4 linked regions of the Drosophila melanogaster genome follow. Changing the gene in region 1 together with any one later gene gives a genetic interaction. Each region holds a gene or a part of one and is shown on either strand. Other genes may lie near its edges. The genes, in order: pb, H, Scr and Ubx.

Region 1 (6,600 bases):
ATGTTTGTTTGTTTAAGGTAAAGGTAACCTGCTTGCATTTTTGAACATTTATTGAAATTCTCCAGTCGGCAAGCCATCGTTCTACAGATGTTAAGTGTCGGGATAGGAGTGCCGTGGCTTTTATTGGGCATTTCGAGCGACTGAGTATCGCGGTATCATCAGCGAACGTGGAGGTTGTTAGATTGTAGTCTATGGGGAAATCCGCCGTATACAGGGTGTATAAGATTGGACCCAGTACACTGCCTTGCGGCACTCCAGCTTCGATTGCGCAATCGCGTGAAGTGCTTGTATCGCATCTTATTGCAAACACTCTGTTATATAGGTATGACTTCAGTAGCTTATGTGTGTTTTGGGGCAACAGCTTGATTATTTTAAACAAAAGTCCATCGAGCCACACTCTGTCAAATGCCTGCGCGACGTCTAGAAAAATGGCTGTGCAGTATTCTCGATGTTCAAAAGCAGTACGAATTTCTGACGTGATTCGGTTGACCTGTTCGATGGTTCCATGTTTTTCTCTAAAGCCAAATTGATGTGTTGGAAGTGTGTTGTTTATTCTAAGATGAGGGCTAATCCGAAGGAGTAGCATTTTTTCAAACAGCTTTGAAAGACATGTTAGTAAGCTTATCGGTCTATATGATGATGGCTGCGTTTTATCTTTTCCTGGCTTTGGAATCATTACTATGGTCGACTTTTTCCATTTTTGAGGGAAGTATCCAAGCTTGGCGATTGCGTTGAACAACAGGCAGATGTGAAGAATAGCACACTTTGGGAGTTCAATGAGCATTCTTGGAGTTATTAGGTCGTAGCCAGGCGATTTTCTTGGGTTCAGTTGCTCTTTGATAACCTTTGCTAGTTCACATGGTCGGAATTCAAAGGGTTCTTGAGGATCTAGATTGGCTGCTATTAAAGGAGGGAGAATAAATGTGTTGGTAGAGGGATTTGGTCGGAATACATTTTGTAAATGGTCAGCGAAAGCACTGGCTCTTTCTTCATCACTTCGAAACCAGGTGCCAGAGGGACTTCGTAGTGGCATAATTGGCGCTATTGGAGTCTTTAGGTTTCTGTGAGCTCGTGATTAATGAGAGTTTCGCATTTCACCAGCCAGTACACGGCAAGAAAAAATGGCCGGGACAAGAGAACCCAATTGATTCCGGTCTAAACTGATATGGAAAAGTGTCTATAAAAATATCTTACTTTTTATTTGATTGATTCAATAGTTTGAGATGGACTGATGAGATTATCGCCTATTCTTCAGAGAATGGTGTTCAAATTGACATGGTCGATCGCTAAATTAAAAACCTTATGCTTCCCCCAGTGTAATGTGCATGTGGACTTACCCTGATTGTTGTTGTTGCTGCTCTTGCGGGATGTCTTCTTCTCCTTCATCCAGGGATACTCCGGCACCGAGTCCATTCCATCCGGCGTTTGAGGGACAACGCCAACCGGATATCCGACTCCGACGCCGACATTGACATTAACGTTGACGCCTACTCCGCCAATGGCGCCGGATCCAACAGGTGTTCCGATTTTGGGACTCTCCGGACTCAAGTGGTTGAGGAATTCAGCCATCGACGGCTGCGAATTGATGAACCCGCCCTCGGATGCTGTCATCCAATAGGCCGTGTCCGCGCTCCGTTTATCACAGTTCGGGGTCATCTTGTTGACCATGAGCACCGACGGCACAGGTGGCACCCCCTGCTGTCCGATACCAGGCTGACCAACACTCACTCCCACGCCACCCACACCACCCACGACGCCCGCACCACCGCAACCACCCACTGGCAGGGACGTCTGTCCAGTTTGCACCTGCAGCGGGTTGAGTGGAGATTCCGATTTGATTTGGGTGCCCATTGAGGTCGTGTCCAAGGAGCTGCAGACTTCTTGCATAGCTTGGGTATAATTTTTTTTAGATTCTTTCTATTTCAATTCCTGAGCGTATTAGATGTTCCTCAGCTTGGGAACCTGGAAAGGAAAGCCATTTTTGTAATCTCATAATAATGTTATCACGATTCAGTTCCCAGGAAGTTAGAGGTTTCACTGTTCTTATCGAATGTGAAATTGAATAATGTATGTATATACTTCATTAAGATATGTTATCATTATCTTCATTAACCTTTTAAGAAACAAAGACATCGTCACTTTACTATGCTATTCAATGTTTATTTTATTATTATATTTATAATTTTTGAATTTTTATTTATATATTTTGAATATATATAATTTCAATATAATGTACGTATATACTTCATTAAGATATGTCATTATCTTCATTAACATTTTAAGAAACAAAAACATCGTCACTTTACTATGCTAATCAATGTTTATTTTATTATTACCGATCCAATTTTTCACATTGCAACTGTCAAAAACTTGACTATTTTTAAATTACATATTCCAATTTATATTTCATTAGTCTCTCAGTTTTCTGTGCCAGAAATTCATTTGTAGTCTGCATTTTTACTATTGCTCTTATAGAAATTGTTAGGCCTTCACTTTAAATTTATGGCCACCTAATTTCGATTGAGATTTGACAATATGTATTGTATGTATGTACAATACATACAACCTGTCCTACAATGTTACCTAAATTGGCTTGGTTCGCATACATTATTTTACATTATTTTTTTAAGGATTAATAGTCAGTAAATAAATTAACATATTTTAAACAGAAAAAGTTATAAAGCTGTTACATATCCTCATCTAAGAAATGCCGCATAGCTAATTTCCTAGGAAGTATAAATGAATAAGAAAATTCGAATATATTTTCCGATTCCGCCAATTAAAGATTTGAAATATTTCTTGCAGTAAACATTTTGCCGACTTAAAAGGCTCGTATTTTAGACTAACATGTTGTATCAAAAACGAAATAACGACACGCTTTGATTTTCTCGTGCTTTAAAAGGATACACTTATTTTTAAATGTAGGTAAGAAATATGTGTAAGATAATTTCGTACCATATTAAGTTGATCATTTACAGACCACAGTATTCCATATTTCTCCTCTTACGTTGACATATGCGTTCTTTGTGGAAATTTCACCGGTATCACTTGGGTCACCGTTTTCACTATTGTCTGCACTCGCTCATAGTAACTGGCTTAACTTTTTGTTTGTTTTTTTTTTTTAGTTTCAACCGGCACAACTTTTGCGATGCGGGTTTTGCGTAAAACTTCAGTGTGTCAGGGCTTATCTGTGGGCCGCGAAAAGAGGCGACAACCGCGACGAGAGCGAGGGAACCCAGATCCGAATGTAAATATGGCCACCGTTGTGTTTGCTCAACCGTCAAGTGGTGTTTGGAGTTGGTTTTTCGCTTTCAGGTTGACATAGACACACACCTTTTGGCAGCCATGGCGACGCGAAAGGCCAACACAACCGACGAAACAACGGCGATAACGACAATAGTGCAAGTACGCGCTGTACAACGGTGCGTATGCGGAATGTGTTGATTTTGTAGAGTTTTGTAGAGTCGCTGCGATCGCTGCAATGGCCACACACAGACACACACTCAGTCGTTGCAATTCGTCTGAGATAGTTTTCTCCACTCGCACTCATACACATGTGGGCACTAGCTGTCCCTCTCTGGCCTTCAAGAGGTGCGCAGAACCGGGTTTCCAGGGGTTCCTAAAGTGCTTCTCAACCGTATAGTAAAACTTTTGGTTTCAACTCGTTTTAATAATATCACTTTTTAGTTTTCAAAATTTTTGAACTATTTTTGTAGCTGTCATTTTAATAAATATTATTTTTTAGATACCGAACCGATTCGTAGCGAGAGCGAGACAGAGGGCTTTTGGGGAGCTTCGTGCGGTTCCCGAGAGCTAGATAGCAGCCAACAACCATTCCATCCAATAGCACCGAACGCACTGAACTGGGATTTTGGGACCCAGTATCAAGGAGTGGCCTAAGCGACAGCCACCGCATCCATCACGCTTTTTCCTGGTCGGCACATGCGCGGTGCCATCTGGAAACTGGTTACTATAGCCATTACGCGCAGAGACCAGGGGGTGGAGTTCACACACACCGGCGCACAAGTCTCCGGCCCTCTGATTGGCCGGCTCGGCAGTTTGTTTTGTATCTTTGCGGTCGTGTAGCTCGGGAACCCCTGTATCTTGGGCCATCATTTCCGCGGCGTTTTCTTGCCTCATTCACTTTTTTCCACTTCCAACGCGAACGTGTTGCTTGTGACGGAATTTATTTGGTTTTTCTTATTTACACATTTCGCATCTGCTAAAAAATGAAAAGAAAAAGCCACAGTAGCGAGTTTCTCGCTCTCCGGCTTTTTTGGCTTTCGGCTATGGGTATTTTTGACATTTTGCTTCGCTCATCGCTCTTTTTGTTTTGGGCGCCTCTTCTCCTGTCAATCTTGGTGGCATTGCTTTTTGCCTTTTGGCCGCTTTTTCGCCCTCTTTTTGCTAACGTTCTCCAATCCAGTCCGCGCAGAGTTTGTAATTATGTGCGGATTTTAATGCACACGGGTGTCACTACAGGTGTAAAAATATTGCCACGATTTTGCACTGCAGCTGGGGGTGGTGTTCGTACTTGGACGCTCTGACGAACAAGTTGTCTGACAGCAGGGAGCTATGTGATCGGCAGTCTACGTAATGACGATGCGCACCATGAGATTGTTTAAAATTGTGAAAAAGATATATGTGTGAAAAATACAGAAACTTTGAGGAAGCATTAAGTAAAATAAAAAGCCAAGGCCATTCATTATAAATATCATATAAATAAATGTTTTAACAAGTCAAGCTTATTTAGTTTCTCAACTGTATCGCCCACTAAAATGGAATTTTGTCTAAAAATATTTGATTTGTCTGGTGGTGAAATTTTTGAAAATCGAGTCCGCAAAATGTATCCCCAAATGCTGCACAACCAGCATTTTTTGTTTGAACAAATAAATGCGCACATTAATTATAAAACATATTTTATTTCATCCAAAATAAGTAATAATAATGTAGTCACAGAAAGATATTGCTCGTATAATACAATGATTATATATGTATGTATGTACAGTTGCCTAAACATATAGTCAAAGATATATTTAAAAGTTCAACAAATTTTGAATAAAGTCATAGTCAACATCCAAAATATCCGACGATGAAGCAGAAGAGCTATTCGAGTCCCAGCAGAAATTCTGTATCATTGGCTGATCCTGTGTATTGTGTTCAATTACATTTTCTGCGATAGGAATCGTTGGCTCAAGGCCCAGCCATGAACTCGCCCAGTTAGCATCGAATTCATTGAAGGGCAGTTGGGGAAGAGCCATGGGCTCAGGAGAAAATTCATGGAGGTAATCGTAGCTCTGATAGGGTGGTGTAATTTGACCCTCCTCCAGGACACCGTGATCAACCTGCCGGAGTGGAGCTGTTTCCACATTTGTGTTGGCATATCGAAGGAGACGCTCTACGATCTGGTCGTCCTTTTGAAGATCTTCGCTCGACTGGGAAGAAAGTGGAATAGATGTGGTCAGCGCTCCAATGGCACCCTTCCTATTGGTCGACTTCTTGAGTTTCATGCGACGATTTTGGAACCAGATCTTAACCTGTCTCTCTGTGAGTGCCAAACGCTGTGATATCTCGATTCGCCTGGTTCGGGCTAAATATTTGTTGAGATGGAACTCCCTTTCTAGTTCGATTAGCTGAAGACTGCTGAATGCCGTGCGAGATCTCTTTGATTTCTCCGAAGACCTTGTTGTTGCCGTGGGAGCGGCTTCTACGTTTAACTCGACGCAAGGATACATCTATAAATATATAGATCAATTAAATCTTAGTTTTTATTTAAATAAGCAGTAATTTTTTAAATCCCACCATTAAATCACTGACTGAGTAATTGTCCACAAAATAGTTTTCGCTTTGAATGGCAAACATTTTTCTTGAAGAGCGCGATTTGTTGGCTTCTGACCGCTGTGGCCGATGTTTTTTAACTAGATACCTTTAGATTCTCCTTATTTGCTTATATACCCCAGAAGCCCTTCGTGACGGATCGGATTGGTTCCTACCTGTCCCGCCTGCGACACTTTCAAATTCCCAGACGGCTGGTCTGGGCTGGTAGATGTCGCGTCCTTTTGAGCCTGGCTCCGAATCAAGGTGAGTTCCAGGCTCCAGAGAAACCGACGTACTTCTAAGTAGCGTCACACGGAGAAATATTATTCAGGGGATATTAATGTTACGTCTGGATCTATTTGTTTTATTTATATGATATTATTTAGTTCGTCAAATAAATACTTGCAAAAAATCAAATGTAATATATTTTAAGATCTGAAACATTTTGTGATGAAAACATTAAAATACATCTCCATTTTCAAGGCACCTAAACGTTAACTCTTAGATAAAAATTATTTTAATTTTAAATCAACTTTAGGCCTACGAGATAGCTTATAGATAAATAATATTTCAGTATTGAGAAATATTTCCATTCTTATCCAAATAAAAACTGACTATCATTTGAAAATAAGTGTGTTCTAAGTTCACTTTGTCATCCAAAATATCCACTGATAGTCCTACCTACCTATATACCTACGGATCTGCCCAGCTTTTTTCATGCCTTCGAGACCCCAATCCCCCGGCCAGGTATGTTTTGGCCATGAACGGGAAAGGTCTTGGTTT
Region 2 (9,968 bases), about 14 Mb from region 1:
TGCAGAGTCCTGGCCAACCGCTTAACCCTGGACTCCCAGGGACGGCTAATACTGCGCGACAATGGAAAGATTGTCTTGCCCTTTGAGCATTTTGCCAATGCGGTCATGCTAAAGCACATGTCAGGTCCGCACGGCCTGCACCTTAGTGTCGATGCCACGGTGAGGGCAGTCATTGAGTCGTACACCATCGGTCGGGATCAGTTCGGCATGGAGAAAGAGTTCATCATCGAGGTGGTGCAGTCCTGCCCAAGTCCCGCATGTCGCTACTATAAAAACCACATGGGAATTTCGCCCATGCCGTTCATGGAGCAGCAGTATCCGGGCGTAAACACTCCCGAGTTCCTGCAGCGCTTGGCGCATCTGCCGCCTGGGGGAGCAGCCGGATCTGGGCCAGGAGGCTCCGCAGCCGGATCCACCTCCAGCGTGGCAAGCAGCTCGAGTTCGGCGAACGTGGAAATCGATCTGTCCAAGTCGACGGGCGCGAAGGTGCCCCAGGTGCCGGTGCCGCCGCAGTTGCAGCACCTGACCAAGCAGCAGCAGAGCACTCTCCAGACGCAGCTCTCCCAGATCAGTGCTGCCGCCGCTCATCATCAACAACAACAACAGCAGCAACAACAGCAACAGCAGCAGCAGCAGCAACAACAACAGCAAGCAGCAGCCAAGCACCAGCAGCAATTGACTGCTGCCCTCATCCAACAGCAAAACCGTGTCCTCGCCCAGCAAAATTTAGAGAAGCTTAGCAACCACCTCAGTCCGCTGGAAAAGCAGCGAGTTTTCGCCCAGCTGGATCCAAAGCACTTTGATCCCATGGCCGTTGCGGCTGCAGCCGCCAATCTTCAAATCCAAGGCCTGATGCAATCGCAGGCAGTGGCTGCCGCCGTCGCCGCCAATCAGCAGACTCCGGCGGCTACGACTACATCTGCTGCAGGAGGAGCTGCAGCCGGCCCGCAGGCCCATCACGGACACCATCCCTTGCCACCGCCATCGCAGTCGCCACACTCATCCTCTTCGTCTTCCTCTCATTCCTCGTTGGACCAGATTACCCACAAGAACGTCGCCGACTCCTTGCGGTGGGTGAGATTTATTAGATATTATTATTTTAAATTCTTTTTCTTGGCAAAACATGTGTACAAAGACTTATTTTTTTATTAAAACAAACAAAAAATATTGTATGTATTTGATAAGTAACGAATTAGGTTGTTTACAATATTATTTATTATTTGCTATATGTAAAGTAAATTGATCACTTTTAAATGTTTGCTTTAGGCCCTTAATTGAATTCATTTAACTTTTCCGATTTCAGTTCCAATCTGGACTCAATAGAATCGAATAAGGATCTGCTGGCGCTGCACAACGGAGCCTGGGCCACCGGCGATGCCAATCGAATGGATCACTTGGCCGTGGGTCAGGACAAGATAGTGCGCATCTTTGCGGAGCTGATGCGAAACATGTCGCGGATGAAAACCTACATACGTCCCTCGATGTGCAAGCCCTACGGCAAGCAGAGTGAGAGTCTGCAGAAAAGTGAGTACCTTGGCTGGGAACCGGTTTCGCTATCTGCGATGCTGACCGCCTCCTGCTTGCTCGTTCTCTTCCCCGACAGCCCTCATGGACACCATTCAGATCGTGCAGACGCTGCGCAACTGCCTCCCAGCTCCTCACATACCCGTGTCGTCCTGGAAAAGTGAGAGCGAGGGCAACGTGGGATCAGGAGTGAGCGCGGGAGTAGGAGTGGGTGTCCCTGCAGGACTTAACCTGGGCGCCGCCTTGGGTCTGCCATCGGGCAACATGCACTAGATGCGGGCTGGAGCTCATCGGGTAGCATGCAATAGCTCCGGATTTATCCACTCACATTCTTCCAGCAGTTAGAGAACACTTAGTACTTACACGCAGAGAAAAGCATAGATGATAGGCATAGCAATTTACCCTCGTAGGCGTGGCTCCAGTTTTCCTTTTAGCAATTACGTGCCATGTTCAACACAAGACTTGATTTCACATTTTCCACATTTGACTGACCTTTAGGCATACATATGTATCGAATCCCGCGGCTTGAATTTGATTCCCATCACTCTTTGTTTTCCAGTTTGGCATGCAAAATTATGAAGCAAATCGGCAAATTAGTTAAACAATTGGCAAAACGTCTGTGATATTTGAATTATGTTGGCAAACGGAAGACAAAACTAAATTTAATTTATTACGTTGTGTGCCCTCTGTTGTAATGTCTTACTTTTTACTTTGTGCAATATCTACTAAGCATATATTCTTAGCCGTTCTCGTGCAATCGACGACTTTTCGCCCATATCAAAAGCAACTCGAATGTAGCCTATACTTAAACTAACCTACTGATAATCGGACATGATAGACGCGTAAGACTTACATTATATTTTGCATTAGGACTTCAGAGTATCTGAATAACAATTGGCGGATGGCCGCGGTGGCGAAAGCGACATTACGAGTTGTGTTTAAATTTAAGAAGCTGAAGAAGGGTTGTACTCCGCATGCAAGGGCTATTTAAATATATATTTTAACCCGCCCGAGCTCACCATTACCAGAAATTCGATAAACGAGCAAACAGTATTATACGCAATAAAAAGACACCTGCAACCATAAGTATTTACCTAGCTGATGTGTGGGAATTTATCGTAACATACCATATTATCGCTTAATGTTTAACTTCTGGACTTAATAATAAATAAATATTTTATTCTACGACAAAGAAGAACTTTTCAATGTAACATTATTAACTGCTTTAAGTCATATCCTTAAACTTTCGCCTTGAAAATCTTTAAAACCCTACAGGTATTCCAAATTAATAATCTCAGGTGCTAGAAATTTAATTAATATATTTTGGAAACAGCATAAATTAGTGAAAATACAACATTGTTTTAATCAAACATTTTTAAAAGCATGTTTTCGGTTGCAAAGTTTTCCAATTTCAATCCTGAAATTAAAGTTGAGTTGAACAATTGCTATAAAAAGCGACCATTTATTACGTTTTATAAACTGTCCCGATTGTGATTTTAGTTGTTTATTTTATTTCATATTTAAAACCGTTACTATTTTAAAAATCGTTCGCTAAAGATTGTGCTTTTAAGCATTGATAACTATCGCTAATTGCCAGAATTCGTAATCTTATTTGACTTGAATTGTAAAAATATAGGATTTAGGATTTTTACCAAATAGATGTAGTTCAAAGAACACAATTCTTTTTATTATTAAGCATTTTATTTTGGGAGTTCCTTGCACTAGCTTTTTGCAGCGACCTGTGTGTAAGCTTACATTGAGATAACATTAATGTGAACGTGCAGCGAATGCAGCACTATAACATTGGCCAGTGGAAACATGATATTTGCTAGCATGCTGACTGGCGCCGTGGATTTTGACGTTCTTAGTTGACGGTCACACAGCGCACCGAGCTGCGTTTTTCGTTGATAATTTTTAAATTTATTTATTAGTTTATTGGTTGGAAATAGAGCTGCCCCCAACTGCCCGCTGACCACGGAATTATCGGTCCGGTCCACCGACCTCCGCTTTCACACACTATTCGGCAATCGATATATACGCTGACGGTAATTGGAGAACGTTTTTTCCATTTTATCTCCACCTTGTCCGCACTTCGTTTTGTGCTCTCTTTGTGCGCTGCCTCCGCTTAACATTTGGGCCTGTAAGAAACACATATAAGCAGAACGGCCCGCCGTGTGTGCCTGTGAAATTGGTTAAATAACGTACAGTGGAATGGGCCAATGGCCAAAATGCAATAAGAATATGTGTGTGCAATAAAAATAGGGAACGGTACCGTGCCCCAAAACATGAAAATGGTGCTAGACGCTCCTAACGCCGTGCCGAGCTGGCATATTTTGCTTAGCGACGCCGTCGGCTCCGTTTTTCCCGGCCGCGAACTTTGCGCGAGGAATTTACAACAAAAACAATGAATTAAATGGTATTTAAATTGTCCATATAATGCGGTTTGGAAATGCGAAATTGTGCCTAACTTGCCCAATGCAAACGAATGTTTCTCTTTGAAGGCCCTGCTTAATGACGTCACAAGCGTAGCAGAGTGCAACAGACAGACAACAATGACCGATGAGCATAAAAGTAACATTAACAGTAACAGCAGTCACTCCAGCAACAACAACAACAACGGCAGCAGCAGCAATAACGACAACAACAGCAACGACGACGCAGCAAGTAGCAGCAACAGCAAAAACAACAACACCAGCAACGAGAGCAGCCACAGCAACAACAATACTAGTAGCATAATTGCAGAGGCGGCCGCCAAGTTTCTACTGAAAAATGGCCTAAACGGCAGTAGCAGCACCAGCTACCCCCCTCTGCCACCGCCTCTGCCCGCCAACTTAAGCAGGACGACCACGCCCACGACAACGACAACGCCCTCATCCTCCAGCTCCACCGCCTCAAATGGCTTTTTGCCGCATGCCAAGACGCCCAAAAGTAGTAGCATTATGGCTGCGTCCGCCGCAGTGGCAGCCAGCGTCGTTGGAGCTACTGCGTCCAAGCCCACCATCGATGTCCTGGGGGGCGTCCTGGACTACAGTTCCTTGGGCGGAGCTGCAACAGGCTCACTGCCCACCACTGCAGTAGTAGCGGCGGCAGCGGGAACAGCGAAGATCGGCAAGGGAAGCAACTCCGGCGGAAGCTTTGATATGGGCAGGACACCAATATCGACGCACGGCAACAACAGCTGGGGCGGCTACGGTGGTCGTTTGCAGTTCTTTAAAGGTAAGTATCTTGGTTTATTTATACCGAATCAGAGCAGTGTAAAGAAAACCATTTTTTAACTATTCTGCGTAGATGGCAAATTCATATTGGAACTGGCGCGGTCCAAGGATGGCGATAAAAGCGGCTGGGTTTCGGTCACGCGCAAGACCTTCCGCCCTCCATCGGCGGCCACCTCCGCAACTGTGACCCCAACGTCGGCGGTGACCACAGCGTATCCAAAGAACGAGAATTCCACATCGCTGAGCTGTACGTAACACATGGCATAGTAGTTCCCAACGGATTACCCCTTCCATTTAATTACTTGACCCGATTGGAATCAGATTTGAGTAAAAGGAATTGGATTTTGAAACATGTGTAGATAGCTAGCTTAATCCGAGCGGTCAAAGCTTACAAACACTTGCAGTTATAAAAAACATGTGCCTATTTGACTTAAATTGTTCTAATGGCACGTAGAGGATAAAGTCCAATTTCGAAAACAAAAAATCTGTAAAAAACGACCGCACCTATGTTCAAATCTCTGATCTATTTTAAAACTGTATATATCGGCCATCTCTAATATTATATTTAAAATCTACGAAAATGTCAAACGTTTTAATGAAATAGTAAGAAAAAACCAAACTGTTCAGAATCGGTCATGTTCTTTGTATGACAGTTTTCCAATTCGATCCTATAAAATATAATGTCCTCCCATCCTTGTATACATTTAAATCCTATTTCATAAATTGTTAACAATCTGAATCAAACAAAAGCAAATATTTATTTATGCCAAACTATAATTAACTACTACAATTTGTCTATGTATACCTTGCGTTAATATTCCTCTTCATTGCAGTTTCGGACGACAACAGCTCGATACAATCCTCTCCTTGGCAGCGAGACCAGCCCTGGAAACAGTCCCGACCCAGGCGCGGCATATCTAAGGAGCTGTCGCTCTTCTTCCACCGCCCCAGGAACAGTACGCTTGGCCGAGCTGCTCTCCGGACAGCCGCTCGCAAACGACGGCGCCCCCACGAGCCGCTTACCACCAGCGAGGATCAGCAGCCCATTTTTGCGACGGCAATCAAGGCGGAAAATGGAGACGATACTCTTAAAGCAGAAGCTGCAGAGGCCGTTGAAATTGAAAATGTTGCTGTGGCGGACACAACCACAAATGAGATTAAAATTGAAAAACCGGACACGATCAAAGGCGAGGATGATGCTGAACGGCTCGAAAAGGAGCCGAAGAAGGCGGTTAGCGATGATAGCGAGTCAAAAGAAGCATCGCCCGGTCAGCAAGTGGAACCACAACCAAAAGATGAGACTGTTGATGTTGAGATGAAGATGAATACGAGCGAGGATGAGGAACCCATGACAGAGCTGCCCAGAATCACGAATGCCGTAAATGGTGATCTAAACGGCGATCTAAAGGCGAGCATTGGGAAACCAAAATCCAAGCCGAAGCCAAAAGCCAAGCTCAGCAGCATCATTCAGAAACTCATCGATAGCGTACCAGCACGGCTTGAGCAAATGTCGAAGACATCAGCTGTGATCGCATCGACAACGACGTCTTCAGATCGCATTGGTGGCGGTCTAAGTCACGCCTTGACGCACAAAGTAAGTTTTACTTGGCACAACCTGCATAAGCTGCGGTTTCAAATGTTAATCATGTACTGCAACATTTTTATTATGTTAAAGTTGTAAATCTAGTTAGGGACTTTCATAAAGAAAAAACTTTGAATTGACCACTTAAATATCTTCTTTTAGGTTTCTCCACCCTCTTCTGCGACAGCAGCCGGACGACTAGTCGAGTACCACACCCAGCACGTGTCGCCCAGGAAAAGAATCCTGCGCGAGTTCGAAAAGGTGTCGCTAGAGGACAACGGATGCGTAAACAACGGCAGCGGTGGAGCTAGTAGCGGTGGTGCTGGAGGAAAACGGAGTCGAGCAAAGGGAACTTCGACATCGTCTCCGGCTGGCAAGGCGTCACCAATGAACTTGGCGCCACCCCAAGGAAAGCCAAGCCCCAGTCCCGGCTCCAGCTCATCCAGCACTTCGCCAGCGACCTTGTCAACGCAGCCAACGCGGCTCAACAGCTCTTACAGTATCCACTCCCTGCTAGGTGGGAGCAGTGGCAGCGGTAGCTCATCCTTCTCCTCCTCTGGCAAGAAGTGCGGCGATCACCCGGCAGCTATTATCAGCAATGTGCACCATCCACAGCACTCAATGTACCAACCCAGTTCCTCGAGCTATCCACGCGCCCTGCTCACCTCGCCAAAGTCGCCCGATGTGAGTGGCAGCAATGGCGGGGGCGGAAAATCGCCCTCGCATACAGGAACCAAGAAGCGTTCGCCACCGTACTCGGCGGGATCACCCGTAGACTATGGCCACTCCTTCTACAGGGATCCCTATGCGGGAGCAGGTCGTCCTTCCACATCGGGCTCAGCATCGCAGGACCTGTCGCCACCGCGCTCTTCCCCAGCATCGCCAGCCACGACGCCGCGTACTGTGCCCAAAAAGACTGCATCGATCCGACGCGAGTTCGCTTCACCGTCGGCCAGCAGCAGTAGCTGTCCCTCGCCCGGCGACCGGAGTGCATCGCCCCCGGAACGGCGGCACATGCAGCAGCAGCCGCACCTACAGCGTAGCTCGCCGCTGCACTACTATATGTACCCGCCACCGCCCCAGGTGAACGGGAACGGCTCGGCCGGAAGTCCGACCTCGGCGCCGCCCACGTCGAACAGCAGTGCAGCTGCAGTAGCGGCGGCAGCAGCGGCCGCAGCCGCATACATTCCCTCGCCTTCGATATACAACCCGTACATATCCACACTGGCGGCGTTGAGGCACAATCCGCTGTGGATGCACCACTATCAGACAGGAGCGTCGCCCCTGCTGTCGCCACATCCACAACCCGGTGGCTCAGCGGCCGCCGCTGCTGCAGCTGCTGCTGCGAGATTATCGCCCCAATCGGCCTATCACGCGTTCGCGTATAACGGAGTGGGAGCGGCTGTTGCCGCTGCAGCAGCTGCGGCAGCCTTTGGACAACCGGCGCCCAGTCCCCACACGCATCCGCACTTGGCCCATCCGCACCAGCATCCGCACCCGGCTGCACTGACCACCCACCACTCTCCCGCTCACCTGGCCACGCCAAAACTGACTGATAGTAGTACCGACCAAATGTCTGCAACGTCCAGTCATCGCACAGCCTCCACTTCGCCGAGCAGCTCGAGCGCATCGGCCTCCTCCTCGGCGGCCACTTCGGGCGCCAGCTCCTCCGCAATGTTTCATACTAGTAGTCTAAGGAATGAACAAAGTTCAGGTAAGCATTCAATCAGTGCACCAATAATGGCAAGCAGTTTGATGATTCAATTTTCATTCCTCTGGGAATGTCTGAAGAAAATATATTACAGATCCATTTATTATGTTGTCAATTTAATGCACGTAAAACACAATTTAATAACGTTTCTTATTTATTTCTTCCTTAGACTTACCACTGAATCTGTCAAAGCACTGAGACATACACACGCCCCAGCTGCCCCAGTTTCTGGGCCAACCATTCGAGTTAAGAACATTTTCGCACTAGTAGCGCTTAAGACGACATTCAATACACGTAATATAATTTGATAAGTTCGCTGATAGTTTAGTTGTAACCCGATTGTTTAATCCTAAGCCTAATCCTAGGTTCTCAATTAGGGCCGAACATTTAGAAATCGCATACAAAAAGAGATGAAAAACTCAACTTTGTTTTTAAACCCGTTCCAGAACTCTTTATACAATCAGTTGAGAAATTTTATTTTCGACAAACTGAATAAAATATGCAAAGGAATTTTATTCTATGCCGACTAATGGAAAGAAATACTAATAAAAACATTTTCTATAGGATGTATAAAATGCAAGTCTTAAAGAATCTCAAAAAAGAGTTACGTTTTTTTCATCAAAACATTTCCTTGAAACAGACTGAACCTGAATTTTTTTAGAAAAAAAAAATGAAAAACTTAGTTACGAATCGCAAAATATAACATTTTAAAGTATATTTAACAAAACTACAAGAACAGATTTTTATAAAATGCTTGTGCCTTTAAAAATGGAAACAGAACTAGGGATACAAAAATTAATATTAAAAAGAAAAAGAAGTTTACTATAAAAACATTTATGTGCAAGCATGTGCAGGTATTCTATGGTGAAAACTTTAGAATTTCTTGATATCGTGGTCCAAAATGCAGTTGACAGGAATTTGCACTAAGCAGATTGTATACGACACCAACTTTTTAAGTACTTTTAAAAATGTATCTTTTAATTATTTCGGAATAATTATTCTAAAATAGTTAAAAGATAAAAGCAATCCAAAACTATACAACTCGTCTGTACTTCAAAACGAAAGAGATTACTCTTTGGTCTTACATTTTTTGGTAGACTGTAAAAACTAAAATTCGAAAAAATTGTTGAAGTTTGAATTTAAATCCTCGGCGGATCTAAATTTAACCTCCACGATTGTTGTCACCATCAAAAATATTATATAACTGTGCCTAGTGCACATTCGCTGTCAGTGGCTGTCCAATCAAAAACAAATAAAATGTACAAAAAATCCACATATACGACAAATTTACAAGAAACGGAAAGCAAAAAGATCCTAAGCAGACAATTTCAAACCGGAACTCGTACAACTGAAACTGATACAAATAAAAAACATATTCCTAACGCAAAAAGACAAAAACAAAACGCGGTTTCTCATATTTTCTAAATTATTTATATAAATCAAATGTCTATTTATATTTACTGATATGATAATGTGTAAGTAAATAGGTGTAATTGTAAATACAGTATTTTTACACAACAAAAAGTTAATCAATACGCGAGAAATAACCAATATATTTAATATAACTATTTTTATAACGGATTTTAACAAGTAACTGTATATTTTGTATCTGATTACGCAGAATAAAAAACAAAACGAATTCCATATGAGGTCAAGAACAGTTTGCACAAGGCGGCCTGAAACTTGCTTAAAACTTAATGCACTGAACAAAATCCGAACTAAACACATCTGTTCCAGGCAGATACAAAATATTTTCCAATGGAAAAATGGAGTAGATTCATTTATTTTTTACTAATCAATACATAAATCTTTCAGTTCGAAATTTTTAAGCAAGTTGCAGTCGGCTAAACTTTTTAGTAGGCTTTAATGAAAATTAAAAAGAAATATAAATACAATTTTCATACAAATTCCATATGGTTTCTACTACCTACTGATT
Region 3 (6,949 bases), 110 kb from region 1:
ATGTAACATTATGTAGTAAATTACAGTTTAAATAATATAGTGAACTCATGATATATTCTCATACAGTCTTGCAAAAGCCCAAACACTTGAAACACTTTAACAAAGTTGAAGTTAATAGTTTTAAATACACTTGACATATGAATGAATCAGGTGGTAAATATTTATATATATTGTAGTTCCATTTAAAGCTAATTAAAGTAAAATGGCACGCATAAAATAAAAGCTACATAACACATTTTAAAATATGCCCGTAAAGATCACATAGTCATAACTCGTGCCTTACTGCTCCTTTCGTGTACACCAGTGCCTCCTGCCCTGGTTCATCGCTTAAGCTCAGCTGTTGTCTCCTCCTAATGACCTCCAAGGCCCTTCTCCGCAGAACCGCTTACCCAGTCTCAAGACCAAGAAGTCCTCCCCCACCCCTGACCAACTTGGCCAGCCATCTTGTTCAACTAAGTAGCTCGCCTGACAGCTGAGCAACGTTTGTCATAATCAAATGTGAATGGACTGACACTGACACAGGGGCTCTACGGACTGAGGACTGAAAACTGAAAACTGGTAGCTGCCAAAAAGCAGAGAGAGGAAATTAATTTAAATTGGCCTTTAATGTAAATGCATCTCTCAATGCATCGCCAACTGCAGTTGGTTCTGTAGGAGTTTGCTCCGCTCCAGATACAGCTTATATCCCGACTAACACCGACTTGTGTTTGCCCCCAAATTGGGGGTATTTATCAACTACTCGTAGACATGGACTACCCATCCTACAACCAATTTCAAGAACCCCCATTTCCATTACGGATGCGTGAAGAACTCAAATGGCAAGGTATTAACGAATTGTCGTGAGTTTGGTTCGGGGAGGGGTATTCATTTTTCTTGGATCGTTTAATTGGAAACTGTTGCTGTTGCAGTTTCGTTGATGCACTGAGACAAAATCATACTAACATTAATTTTAACCTCTCTTGCTATTCAAATATAAAGCCCCAAATAGTAATAAAATTCAGTAATTGTGTATGGAAAAGAAAAAAAAATTTGTTTAAATAAACAGTTTAATGTTTGGAAAAGTAAATTTAAAATTAGTTATAAATATGTTACATTGTATTATAAAAGTTACCATAAGTGCGTTACATAAGTTACAAAGTTTTTCTTTGTGTTTTTTCTATGTCCAGATTTAATTCAAAAATTCCAACTTCGCGTTACGCGCTGTTTTCTTTAACTAAAAACAAAATACAAACGCTGCTGATTGTTTCATATTAAAAATTGAGCGTGTGTGTGCGAGGGGCAACATTTACAATCGGAGGCAACATGCAAGCGATGATGAAAAATCGCCTGCAACATGTTGGATGCTGCTGGGGACCCTCCATGGATCTAGAATGGAATGGGATCCGAGAGGATGCTATGCTATGCTATGGATTGGGATACGAGAGTCTGGCGCTGGCTGCCCGCTGGCATCGCCAACATCAACTCCAATTACAGAAGTACACGCAGGCGTCTCTCTTATGATTTTTTTTTTTTAGTTTTTCATTTATTTTCCATCATTTGTTTTTTTCTATACTTTTATATGGTTTGTGGATGATGCGGGCCAACCATAAAGAGCTGACATGTGTGTTTCAAAAACACAGCGGAAAACATATGGCAAAAAATACGACTTCTATAAGAAGAACAAATCGAATTGGTACATAAACTTAAGCTATAAATTCCGAAATACGTACTTACAAAATTTATTTATATTTTAATAAACATATTTTCGAAAGAATTGCTGATTTCGCGTTTCGGGTTTCGAAAGTAACCGTTCAGTACCACTTAAAAAAACACTTTTATTACAAGTTCGTATCAAATAAACGTATTAAGTTTATACGTTTTTAAATAAGATAATTTTTAAGACACTCACTATAAATACTTATTAAAACAAACTTTTGCTTTTGCAATATATTACGAATGACCTATGCCATTTATCTGTATTTGGTATATGTTTGTGGTTTCGCAACATAAACGTTAGATTCCAAAAATAAAAATAAAAAAAATAATCTCATTCAAAATCGATTTTGGGTGTGTCTTAACCAGCAACTCATTTTTATGATAAAAAATAGCTAATCAACATTTAAATCTCCGAGACAAACTAATCAATTGAATTCAAATTCAAATGACGCCAAAATCAAACCATATGTGTGTTCAGCTCTGAATGCGATGCTGGATTGTTGGTAGCAAATATGAAATCGACTTTTAATTAAGGCATTTAGCCAAACAAATCAAAATCGTTAAGCCCCGATGCTGAATGAATCATGAGAACTTGAACTTGGCTACGGCCCAAAGAGAACCCGATCCGCAGCCCCGAAACAGACCGATAAATTTAAATTCAGAGACAACTGCCAACGAGCTCGTTTTAAAGGAGGAATAACTTAAGCTTCAGCAGGAGACTTTGCATTTTGCCAGGCCAATAAAAATGGAAATGAACGCGGAGCGGAACGTTTATAAAATAATAATGCGAAATAATAATGTGGCGGTGATTTAGCGGAACAGTGCCACGATTGAATACAAATAAAGTGGGGGAGACGCCTAATCTAGGATGATTTCGGCCTAATCTGGAGCGTGAACCGGGGGCAGATGTGTCCTGGAGTGGCTGCCAACTACCTGTTTTTTCTCGCTTTTCTCGTATTTCTCGCTTTTCTCGAGAGCGCGCTTTTCCCCAAATCGAGGGAAAAGCTGGAGCGCCATAGGCCGGTTGCCGTGGCACCCTCGTCGCATAAATCAAGACTGGGGGCGGAGTCTGCCGTGGGTGCAAGTGGGACAGCAGGATTTTCGAAAATGCGCACTGTCCGTCCTCTCTCTCGCACTCGTTGGCCGGGTCCTCAAATGATTTACAGTGTTCGAAACGCACACAAGGCAACGCACGAGAGGGTCGTTTTGTCGGTTTTTATGGCTCAAACGTGAATTGAACGTGGCGCACTTCAGTCGCCAAGCAGCGCGCTCGGTCTTCTGCAAACATAAAAAGATACAGATACACGTTCTCGTATTCGTACGCGTAGCAATCCGCGAAGTTTCCGCTTGAAAGCCAGTCTTGCGATTCCATGGAAAGCTCTTTGGCGACGGCAAGGTGCCATGGTCTCCCCATAGCGGATACTTTACCGACTAACTCCTTTACATAGGAGCGGAATTACCTACCCACCTCAAATAATTTCTCAAACTGCTCATCTTCGCAAATAACTAAGATAGCAAAGTGCAGTGCAAAAGGCAAATACAATTAATACGAAAATAAAAAGTATACAGTGAAGTGCTGGCTAAGAAAACTAATTGAATTACAACGACTTGTTCGTAGCGTCTGATTGGATTTCCCCAAATCGTCCACATAAAGGTAAGAAAATAACAAACGTAGAAAAACTAAACTCTGAATGTAAGAAGAAAATTTAAGAAAGTTTTGCCCTTAAAGGTTTAAATGAAACCATCGATATATCGTTAAATGGTTCCTTTTAACCTTTCTAAACTTTTCCACTCAAATCATTCTGAATTAAAACTGCACTGTGGTGTGGAGGATTGAATATTTTAGAGTCAATTTAACAAACAATAAATATTGTAGAATACAAAAAAGGTGTCAATTGTAAAAAATCAATATAATATATATATATATATTTTTTATAAATATATATTATTTTAGCAAGTTCAGAAATCCAATTACTTTACTTCTTTGCAATACCTCCAAATGTTATATAAACTAACTGCACACTTAACTAAAAAAAAATATATGAACAACATTAAAAATATATATTAAATCTTCAGAGACAGATTTTACTTCTCCAAACTCCCAAAATGAGTCCCAGAGTCTTGATTTTATCCCAACTAGCCCAAAGTACGGAGTTCGAATGTTTATGATTTGGTCCCCCGAAATCGATCTCACACGGACAGTGTCGGTGAGAACAATAAGACTTTAGTCGCAGTTCGAAACATGATTTTCGAACTACCGAGTAACGATCTCTCTCAATAAGAACTTGTTCGAAACACGCGAGAGCGGTGCTTTTCGAACTACCGCTCTTTCGAACTCACACACACACACACCGATGTGTCGTATTCGTATCCGTGAGATACAATTTGTGGGAACGAATTTCTGGTTTGGCGGTTGATTCGAAACGTTCTTCGCGTCCGCAAAGGTAGTTTCAGCACATGCCTGAGAGCGAGCGAGATGGCGGAGCGGCGCAATGCCCGTTGTCTCTCTCGCACACTTTTCGAATAATGAACACTGCACTTGGACGACGATATGTAGCTGTATAGCCATATAGCCTTACTTGCTCGTACTCGCAGATACAATTGGACGGGGGAAATGGAGCAGTATGAGTGAGCCAGAGCGCTGGCGTATCTGTGTTTTTTATTGATGCTCAGAAATTTGAATTATGCCCGAGCAGTCAAAGTGAGACATTGGCGCTTCGAGCACGTATCCGCGGATACACCGGAATAACAGAAAAAAAAGCACAAATAAAAAAACTCAAACAATCCAACACTCAGCTGTTCCGCGTGTAAAGACCCTCGAATACTGTTCGATTTTAGCGAAAGATGGATGGACTGCAAAGTGCTTGCATCGATGCTGGCGCTGATGGACAGTCATAAATTCGGCGTGAAATTCGCGCAGATACTTAGATACTCCGTCATAGCGCATATACTTATCGTGATCTGTAACAAATTGCGCGTGTGCTTGTGTGTTTGTGATACCAAAAGCCGTCCAAATCCGTCGCTTAGCCCTTTGCGGCCAATTACCCATTAGAACCATCCAAAACATAAGCCTGCAGGTAGGACGCAAAAGTCTAGCCAGTTTGCCCTCAGGATGCCATCGGATTAATTTCCCAGATATCCGGCTGGTTGTGACAATTCTACCTTCGTAATTGTGCACGTTGATTTCCGCACTCAGCACAAGTGAAAATCGTGGTTCAGTGCAGTGAAAATCAGAAAACAAACTCACTTGAACGGAGGTGAACGCCGTCGGCTAACTAAAATTGTGAGTAAACGAGTTTAACGGCTGAAAATATTTTAAGCGCTTTGGAACAGGTGAAAACAGTCATGGAAAGGATATTTATTCGTTGTCAGTTTTTGTTTTGTATTTTCTAGTGTTTTTTTTTTTGATGTGTTAAGAACTTATGTAGCAATATTTGGTCTAAAGCAATTTAATTATAGTTTTTTCTTAACAATTTGATGCGATTTTATTTATCAAATAATATTTACAATAAAAAAGTGCTTTGTTCGTATGTACATATTTTTTTAAGTAACAATATTTCTACCACCTTAAATTTTATTTTTAATCTTACAATCTTTATCTTGTACTTTGACTTTCTTATTGAAGAAATAATACCAACACTAGTAAGTTAAAAAAAAATAAGAAATTTTTAATTTCTTTAATAAATCAATTTAATATTCTTTGAAGAAATCATCAAAGGTGCGTAATAATTTCCCCTGTTTGCTTCTTAAGACACTCCATATCAAATAATATAATTTGAAAAAATCAATGAAATATATTTTGATACCTAGTAACCGAACCCAGAAAATACATTTTATATATTTCCCTATATCGGGGCTTTGTTTCTGTATTCTGTTTAAGCAATTTTTCATAAGGTTGCGTGTGCGGTATCAACGCAAGGAATTTTCACTTCATTAAAGCGAAATGCAGCCGCTTTTGAAATAATTAAGAGGCACAAAGGCGAAATGTCACAGCGAATGAAAAATGCCTAACAAGCGCCGCATATAGAAGGTTAATCCAGACACATAGCGTTATATACCGAGCCCAAGCTGGGATAGGGATGAAGAAATGCCCACGATATAGGCTTGGCTACTATCCGGGGAACTCGAACTCATGCTGGCCAAGACGCCATGGGGCGAACATGAAATTATGTAAAATAAAAGAAGACGCACTGGGCTGGAACTTCATGGGACTTTGCCAATGACCGAGTAAAGGCGATGCTCCTGGGCAGTATTCTACATCCCGGCATGGCATCCCACATGTGCTCTAGTCGTAAGTGGATGAAATTCCACTTGATGTAGGTCACTTTCATTCGCCCATCTCGCCAAGGGTGGGCCAAGATCAAAGAGCTGGAGAGCTGGCTGCATCGATTGCATAATATGGGCACAACACTGAGACAGTTGCAGGCCCAGTAACAATTCCACTCCGAATTGCAGTCTATACGGCTAATTGGAGGGTAGGGGCCAGTCCAAAGTTCTACGAGTGTCTTCAGCAGCGCTGTAATTTATTTGGCCTGCGCCTGGCGGAGACATTCATCATGGCCTAACCCCGGCTCTTCCTGACGCCCCCCTCAAATATTTCAACAATACTCGTTCATATTTATAAATCAAAATCGCAAGCACGCAAGCTGAAAATTTGTGCTAGAGTCGTTGATCTATTGGCCGCAAAAATGGCAGGCCGTTCTAACAGGAATAGAAAAGTCTACAATAAAAGCTAGAGTAGCAAAACGAAAAGATACAAGACCGAAAGACAAAATAATACAAAAGAGGTTGGAACAGCATATATTGAATGCCATTTGTTTAGAATTAAAAGAAATTTATTGAACCATGAATGCTGCGAGCATATACAACTAATACTTGTCTTAAAAACCCGCCCCTCTACCTAAATTTATCCTAATAGTTGTCCGACAAAACTGCTCTCCAAAAATATGACTACAAATTAAGTTGGCCAAGGATTACCCATAAACAGTGGCAAGACCAGGATACATTACACAATTGAGATGTCCTTGACCAGAAACAGGACTACTTAAAATGATAATTCCGACTCGACCATTGCGCAAAAGATCATAAATTATCGCAGTGGAGAGGAGAGGAGATGACAAGCTGAACCACAAATGGCCGCTTGCAGCGAGGATCGGAATCGATGATTGGTTTTCAGTTGGGAAAACAATTGGAGAACTCATAAAAATTATGAGAGCCATGACAAACAAACAAACAAACCACAAACAGCAACTGT
Region 4 (6,547 bases), about 10 Mb from region 1:
CTGGATTCCCGACTCACGATATTTAGTTTGCAGTTGCGACTGCGATTTTTACTTTACTTTTGCTTTGCTCTGGGTCTTCTCGCCTTTTGGCTTCGCTTTTCCTTGGGCTTTTGGTCGCATATTTAGAAAATGTCGCCGCGTCTCCGAATGTGATTCAAGTGTTTGTCAGTGTGTGTGTGTGTGTGTGTATGTGGTGGTGCGTATCTGTGTTTTGTGCAAGTTTTTGTATCTTTCGCTTGTTGTTGATTTTTAAGACTTGGCACCGAAAATTTGGTCGGCGGAAAATGGCGCGAGCAGGGGTTGGAAAAGTAGAAAAGTAAATTTCTTCTTATAATAAGTTTATTTTGCAAACACTTGTGGCAAGCAACTTTGTTTGGTCGCCGTCGGTTTCTGGCTTAATCTACGAGCCGTTTGTGCGAATGTGGAAACTTTGACAAATATTTGCGAAACTTTCGCGAATGGCGCGGCGTTCTCGGTCTGCAAGACCCCGATCTATTTGCATTATGCATATGAATTTATTAGCATCAATTCCCACCATATTTACATTGACATTAATATCCCATTGAAAGTATTGGCGAACGGATTGAACATTTGGATTCGAATGCGAATTTGAATTTGAATAGGAAAAGGAAAACCGCAGCACACAAATTTTCCGGATCCCTGGCTTCTATTACCGTACAATGCCGAGTTGGGGTTGACTTATTATCAATAAACTAATGCTAAACACGAGACTTTTAATAAATAAAAAATAATGTCTTCATTAATATATTATAATTCGTTTTTAAAGGCCTAATAAAGCCTTTAAGTGATAAGTATCTTTTTATGCCATACCACATTGAATTAAGCTTATAGTTTTTGAGGTAAAGGTAAAAACGATTAATTTACTAATATTTTTCTAAATTGTGAAACAATTTATACGATATTTACTTCCATAGAAATTAAATTAATAATTACAATATTCCGACTATTCTAATAAATATATTTTTTAAAACAAAAACTTTTTTGCACTTCGTTGTGTGCAAATTATTCCCCAAAATATTGAACAATTAAATAATGACCAGCTTAAACTGAATAGAATTAGATACAAATAATTTGCGTAAGCCATATTCTAGCACAAAGATTGGGAACTGAAACTGTAGTCATAAGTGCGCTAAAACCGAGCAAATACGGGATGCGCATCGTTTGGCGTGCAACTGGCAACTGGCGGGCAGCCCGTCGAGCGTTTTTCGCCACTCAGTTGAAGGAAAATCAGCCCTCCTCCATGATGAATTTCCCGCGGCGAGCGCATTTTCCTTCCTCGCGAATGAATGAACGAGAGGCGCCCACCCCGATAAACTTAAACTGAACGAACACTCAAGAGAGAGCGCAAGAGCGCTCAAAAACAATCTGGTTTTGAGCGTTTCGCTGGCTCTCTGTTTCTGTTTTCCACTCGTTTTTAGGCCGAGTCGAGTGAGTTGAGTCGGCAGAGCAAAGTCAAAACACTGGCAACTGCGATTTGGTGCCACATTCGTTCGATGGCAACGGATTGGATAACAGGCGCGCGCTTTGTTTTATTATCCACATTATCAGCGGCATTATTGTTATTATTGGCCCTCAGCGCTTTACCGCTCGCCCACGCGTCCGCCCGTGAATGCCGCGCGGAAAAGTCGCTTTCCACTAGATTGGCGTCCAGATTCGAGGAAATCCGTCAGCAGACGCATTCGCGCCCGTTCGGTCAGCACTATGGCTAATAATCGTTCAAATCGTTAAAACCATAAAAATAATAATAATAATTGCAATAACAATAAACATAGTAATAATCGTAACGCTTACGAGCCTTTGATAGTGCCAAGGCAAGCGCAATCCAAGTATTCAAATTCGAATTCAATTAACAGCAAAGTGCAATTGGCTAAAAACCGAAACCAAAACGCAACAAAGTATACGAAACACTTGTGAAACCGTACAAACAATTGTGGAAAAAAATTTAAAGATTATTAAGATTGAAGTCTCAATAAACATTAGTGCTTAAATAAATTTAAAACGACCCGCGTGGAGAGTGCAATAAAAAGAATAACTTTTGAAATAAATATTTACCAAACAGAAAAATATTTTATAAATATTTAAATAAGTGAAAAACAAATTGGTTACTCTGAAACAAAGAAAATTCAAATTGGTGCTAAAACAAAGGAGAAAAAATTTCAAGAATATTTTACAAATAATAAGACATATTTAACTATATAAAACCAAACTTAATCAACAAAGACTTGGAGTGAAAATATAAAATAAATTTTAAAAAGAGTTTAACAAAATTTGTTTAAATCCAAAGGAGGCAAAGGAACAGCACAGAAAGCGAGGAAACACTCAAATAAAATCCGCCAAAAATCGCAGATCCCTGGAAACCAATTCGTGTGAAATCGGTCAAGCCCCCAACGACTTTTAGCCCGTCTCAGACGGAGCACCGCCAAGATTCTTACCGCCAGCAGCGCAATGAACTCGTACTTTGAACAGGCCTCCGGCTTTTATGGCCATCCGCACCAGGCCACCGGAATGGCAATGGGCAGCGGTGGCCACCACGACCAGACGGCCAGTGCAGCGGCGGCCGCGTACAGAGGATTCCCTCTCTCGCTGGGCATGAGTCCCTATGCCAACCACCATCTGCAGCGCACCACCCAGGACTCGCCCTACGATGCCAGCATCACGGCCGCCTGCAACAAGATATACGGCGATGGAGCCGGAGCCTACAAACAGGACTGCCTGAACATCAAGGCGGATGCGGTGAATGGCTACAAAGACATTTGGAACACGGGCGGCTCGAATGGCGGCGGGGGTGGCGGCGGAGGCGGTGGTGGCGGCGGAGCGGGCGGAACAGGTGGAGCCGGCAATGCCAATGGCGGTAATGCGGCCAATGCAAACGGACAGAACAATCCGGCGGGCGGTATGCCCGTTAGACCCTCCGCCTGCACCCCAGATTCCCGAGTGGGCGGCTATTTGGACACGTCGGGCGGCAGTCCCGTTAGCCATCGCGGCGGCAGTGCCGGCGGTAATGTGAGTGTCAGCGGCGGCAACGGCAACGCCGGAGGCGTACAGAGCGGCGTGGGCGTGGCCGGAGCGGGCACTGCCTGGAATGCCAATTGCACCATCTCGGGCGCCGCTGCCCAAACGGCGGCCGCCAGCAGTTTACACCAGGCCAGCAATCACACATTCTACCCCTGGATGGCTATCGCAGGTGAGTGTCCTGAAGATCCGACCAAAAGTGAGTGTCCACTGCAGCACAAGTCCACTGAAAGTCCCCCGAAATCCCATCCCTTCTGTCCTCATCCCTGCAGTGCCAAAGCTTTGTTGTTTTCCCAGTTGTTATCAAGCTCAACAGATTGCAGCTATGGCAACAAAAGTCATCCTGTGATTAATTGCCGTCTCTGCTCCAATTAACAGACAAGTCAACATGTAAGGCAATATAATGAAGAGCTCGAATCGATCATGGGAAAAACAGATAACAACTTGTAATGTAAGACATATGAAAGCAGGCAGAACAGACCTTTTTATGGCAGGTTCTTAGGGAAAAGACACAACACCTTATTGGCAATCAAAAACTTTAAGCGATTTAAAAAAAACAAAAACTAAGAATGTATTATGGTTATAGGAAGCCAAAAAACAGTCCTAGTTAATATTGTGTATATTCAAATTGGCTGAAAAGTTTAGAAAAAAAGATGTGATAATACTTGGTAAAAAAATTAAAAATTTTAATAAAAAATAGTAAAATTATATTCTTCAGAGGAAAAAAATTAGGACAAGTATTTTAGATTTATTAAGTGTTAAAAAGGCAAAAACCCCCTTGGCTAACTCAAAATTATTTTCCAATAATTCTATTTAAAGGCACCCATTTGCGTGGCCATAGTTTATTCGCTGGCCGCCAATTTCAGCGATTTAATCACTCTAAGCGAGATTTTATGGCTGTGATCTCGCTTAGAGTGATTAAATCGAGTGAAGAGCCATGAGTAGCTAAAATAAAAAAATAAAAAAAACCAGCTCAGACCCTTCGATTTCACCTGCTCCGCTCCGCGACACCTTGCAGCGCTACGTCTGCCTCATAATTTTCAACACTTTGTTTACTAATTTTTGTCACCTTTGCTTTTAATGATGCTCGGCGGTAATTGTTGCAGCGCTGGCAGCCCAAGTGAGCTGCAATTTGTGCAACAAGAGAGCGGCAACGAGCAGCGTGAGTTATGGCATGCGGCTTAAAAAGAGCTGCAAAATAGCAACGGAGAAGTCAAGAAATAGCAAAAGGCAGCAAAGGCAGCCACAGGAGTCGGCGAGAAAGGGCAAGAATCCTTTCAGGACACACACTGCGCGCAGAAGTCGCGCTTATTACGGTTAACTACGCCATTATGTAATTACGTTCAGCCCCTCACCGCTCGACTTTTCCACGGGTTTCAGTCACCAGCCGAGCGAGGCGAACGGCTTGCGTCTGGGCCGAGATTGCCGTTTGGGCCAAGAACAAAGCCAAGAGTAGGTCAGCCGAAGGAGGTCTAGGTGCTCGAAGATCGAACGTAAACTGCACTCAAGCTGGCACTAAAGAAATAGGGAAAATAGAGGGCTTACAAGTTATTATTTTCAAATTAAATAAATTGTTAACTTACAAATTATTACTTTTTTTTTAATTGTTCGAAAGACTCAAAAAATTATTTGTATTATCCGCTAATATTTTTTGTCTGTGTATAAAAGGGAGCTTGCAAAATACCCTTCAAAAATCAATCAAATTTCACTTATAGCCAACGCGAAGAGCTGGTTAAAAAACAATTAAAGTTGAACTAAATTCGAGAGCCTTGCGACAGGTTTTCCATCGGATCGATCCGTTCTGCAAGATGATCAGGGTAATGAAATTTATGCGCCGAGCCTGACCAGTCTGAAGTGTCGGTGATGAATTGGCCAGGCCAAGACCAAAGAAACACCATTGCCGAAAACCCTTCATACAGGGTGTCTTGTATAACACTTCCAGTGTGTCAGACAATCTCTGCGAGATATAACATCTTTAGTGGAACATTCCCTCTAAGAAATTCAAATGCATTCTTACCTGAAGATGATCGGACACGTTTACCTGAACATTTCATCTTAAATTTTTTTTCTTATAAGAAAACGAGACGATCTGGCAGTTACGATATTCAGACTGAATGAATTTTTCGAACTTGAGACCTGGAATTCAAAATATATAAATATATATGTATATGGCCTTATCTCTAATCCGCTAGATCCGCATTATTGCCATTTGTCACTGTTATCGCCGATTTGATTTACTCCAAAACATATAATGCGAATATAATTTAATTTTAAGCGACTTGCTCTGAGCGAACTGATTAAATCTGATGATCGCAACGGAAAATCAAGTCATAAATAAATCGGCGCACACTTCCAGCGATCATCGATCATTTGCCGCTGATCCGAGGCCCCAAATGCAAACCAAATTCAATTTTATCGTATCTAAACATGGCTTCACATTTGAAAAACCCACATCAGAGTTTTCTGGCCTTTGGAGTCGCAGTTGGCGTTGCTATGTTGTTCTTGGGCCGCTGTTTTGTTGTATGTGCGAACACGGCGAGCGGCGGGCGGAGGGCATTAAATCATTGTCCTGAAGGCTTTTAAGTCATTATCGATAAATTTCAACATAAATTCGTAAATTTGCTTTATTTGCCCGGGCCGGTGTGTGAGGTTCACGTCGGCGAAGTGGTTTATGGCCGAGTTCTGCGGCTGTCCGAAATTTGTCGGTCGCCTAATTTCGAACGTGGCACAGGAAGAAAATTATAGGGAAAAATTACAGGGAAAATCATTTCAGCTGTATTTAACAAATTCAACAAATATATTTAATTTATTAAAAAACATGTGCAATGTGTGATTTTGGCGAAGCAAAGCCAAATATTTTGAACTTACATATCACTTATGAACTTAAACATCATTCATAGTCTCTCTTTTGAATAGAAAAAATTAAATCCATACATTGTGTAATAAAGTCGCATGCTAATTTATTAATGTGATTTTATGAAGAATTCAATACTGATTCAAGTTTTTCCCAGTGTAAGCACAGTTCGAACTCATAAATAGATTTTGTTGCGGCTTGTTACTTTTTTTTGTCCCACAATGACCTTGAGAATAGCTGGGCGGATGGTCAATTGACACGTTTCGGTGCAATCATAATTCATATTTGCCGCAGTTACCGAGGAAAGAACTCTCACGCTGTGACGTAATTATCAGGATGCCTGGTATTCCAGCATATACACTTACACAACTACCTGCAATTGTATGGAACACGTAGGGCCGAGGAGGGCACGTCATATCCATGCAAGGTTAATGGGCTGTGGGCTGCAGGAGACACACCAAAATTGTGCAGTTCAAATGTCGGGCAACAGTTGCCGTTGCAACATGCAATTAATTGCCAGGGGAAGTGCGTCGATGATGCCGCTGATTATGTAAATGGCGAAGTGCAAGCGAACGCACACAGGAAAACCTTTCAACGCGCGCTTTTAATCATTTTTTTCGCGGAGCGCAGAATGCAAAATTCAGCAAGATCAGAAACAAA

Evidence for each region.
Region 2: of pb (region 1) and H, changing one enhances a phenotype caused by changing the other (phenotypic enhancement), as found in Drosophila melanogaster (one study listed by BioGRID).
Region 3: of pb (region 1) and Scr, changing one suppresses a phenotype caused by changing the other (phenotypic suppression), as found in Drosophila melanogaster (3 studies listed by BioGRID).
Region 4: of pb (region 1) and Ubx, changing one suppresses a phenotype caused by changing the other (phenotypic suppression), as found in Drosophila melanogaster (one study listed by BioGRID).

The regions. Positions count from the first base shown.
Region 1 is NT_033777.3:6,738,213-6,744,812, forward strand, and holds the start of pb (proboscipedia), read right to left. Parts: upstream 3,852-6,600; 5' UTR 2,956-3,851; intron 1,963-2,955; 5' UTR 1,888-1,962; coding exon 1,338-1,887; intron 1-1,337. Other genes in the region: zen2 (zerknullt-related), read right to left, coding at 5,037-5,735, 5,803-5,862. UniProt on the Drosophila melanogaster protein: Sequence-specific transcription factor which is part of a developmental regulatory system that provides cells with specific positional identities on the anterior-posterior axis. Controls development of mouthparts, and labial and maxillary palps.
Region 2 is NT_033777.3:20,618,559-20,628,526, forward strand, and holds the start of H (hairless), read left to right. Parts: upstream 1-3,379; 5' UTR 3,380-3,937; coding exon 3,938-3,940; exon of another isoform or gene 3,941-4,025; coding exon 4,026-4,740; intron 4,741-4,812; coding exon 4,813-4,986; intron 4,987-5,572; coding exon 5,573-6,333; intron 6,334-6,483; coding exon 6,484-8,035; intron 8,036-8,201; coding exon 8,202-8,230; 3' UTR 8,231-9,968. Other genes in the region: CG5466 (uncharacterized protein), read left to right, coding at 6-1,070, 1,304-1,524, 1,604-1,797. UniProt on the Drosophila melanogaster protein: Is a potent antagonist of neurogenic gene activity during sensory organ development. The expression of distinct cell fates by the trichogen (shaft) / tormogen (socket) sister cell pair depends on the level of H activity.
Region 3 is NT_033777.3:6,845,945-6,852,893, reverse strand, and holds the start of Scr (Sex combs reduced), read left to right. Parts: upstream 1-2,912; 5' UTR 2,913-3,349; intron 3,350-4,388; exon of another isoform or gene 4,389-4,978; intron 4,979-6,949. UniProt on the Drosophila melanogaster protein: Sequence-specific transcription factor which is part of a developmental regulatory system that provides cells with specific positional identities on the anterior-posterior axis.
Region 4 is NT_033777.3:16,729,383-16,735,929, reverse strand, and holds the start of Ubx (ultrabithorax), read left to right. Parts: upstream 1-1,503; 5' UTR 1,504-2,466; coding exon 2,467-3,232; intron 3,233-5,970; exon of another isoform or gene 5,971-6,547. UniProt on the Drosophila melanogaster protein: Sequence-specific transcription factor which is part of a developmental regulatory system that provides cells with specific positional identities on the anterior-posterior axis. Binds the consensus region 5'-TTAAT[GT][GA]-3'.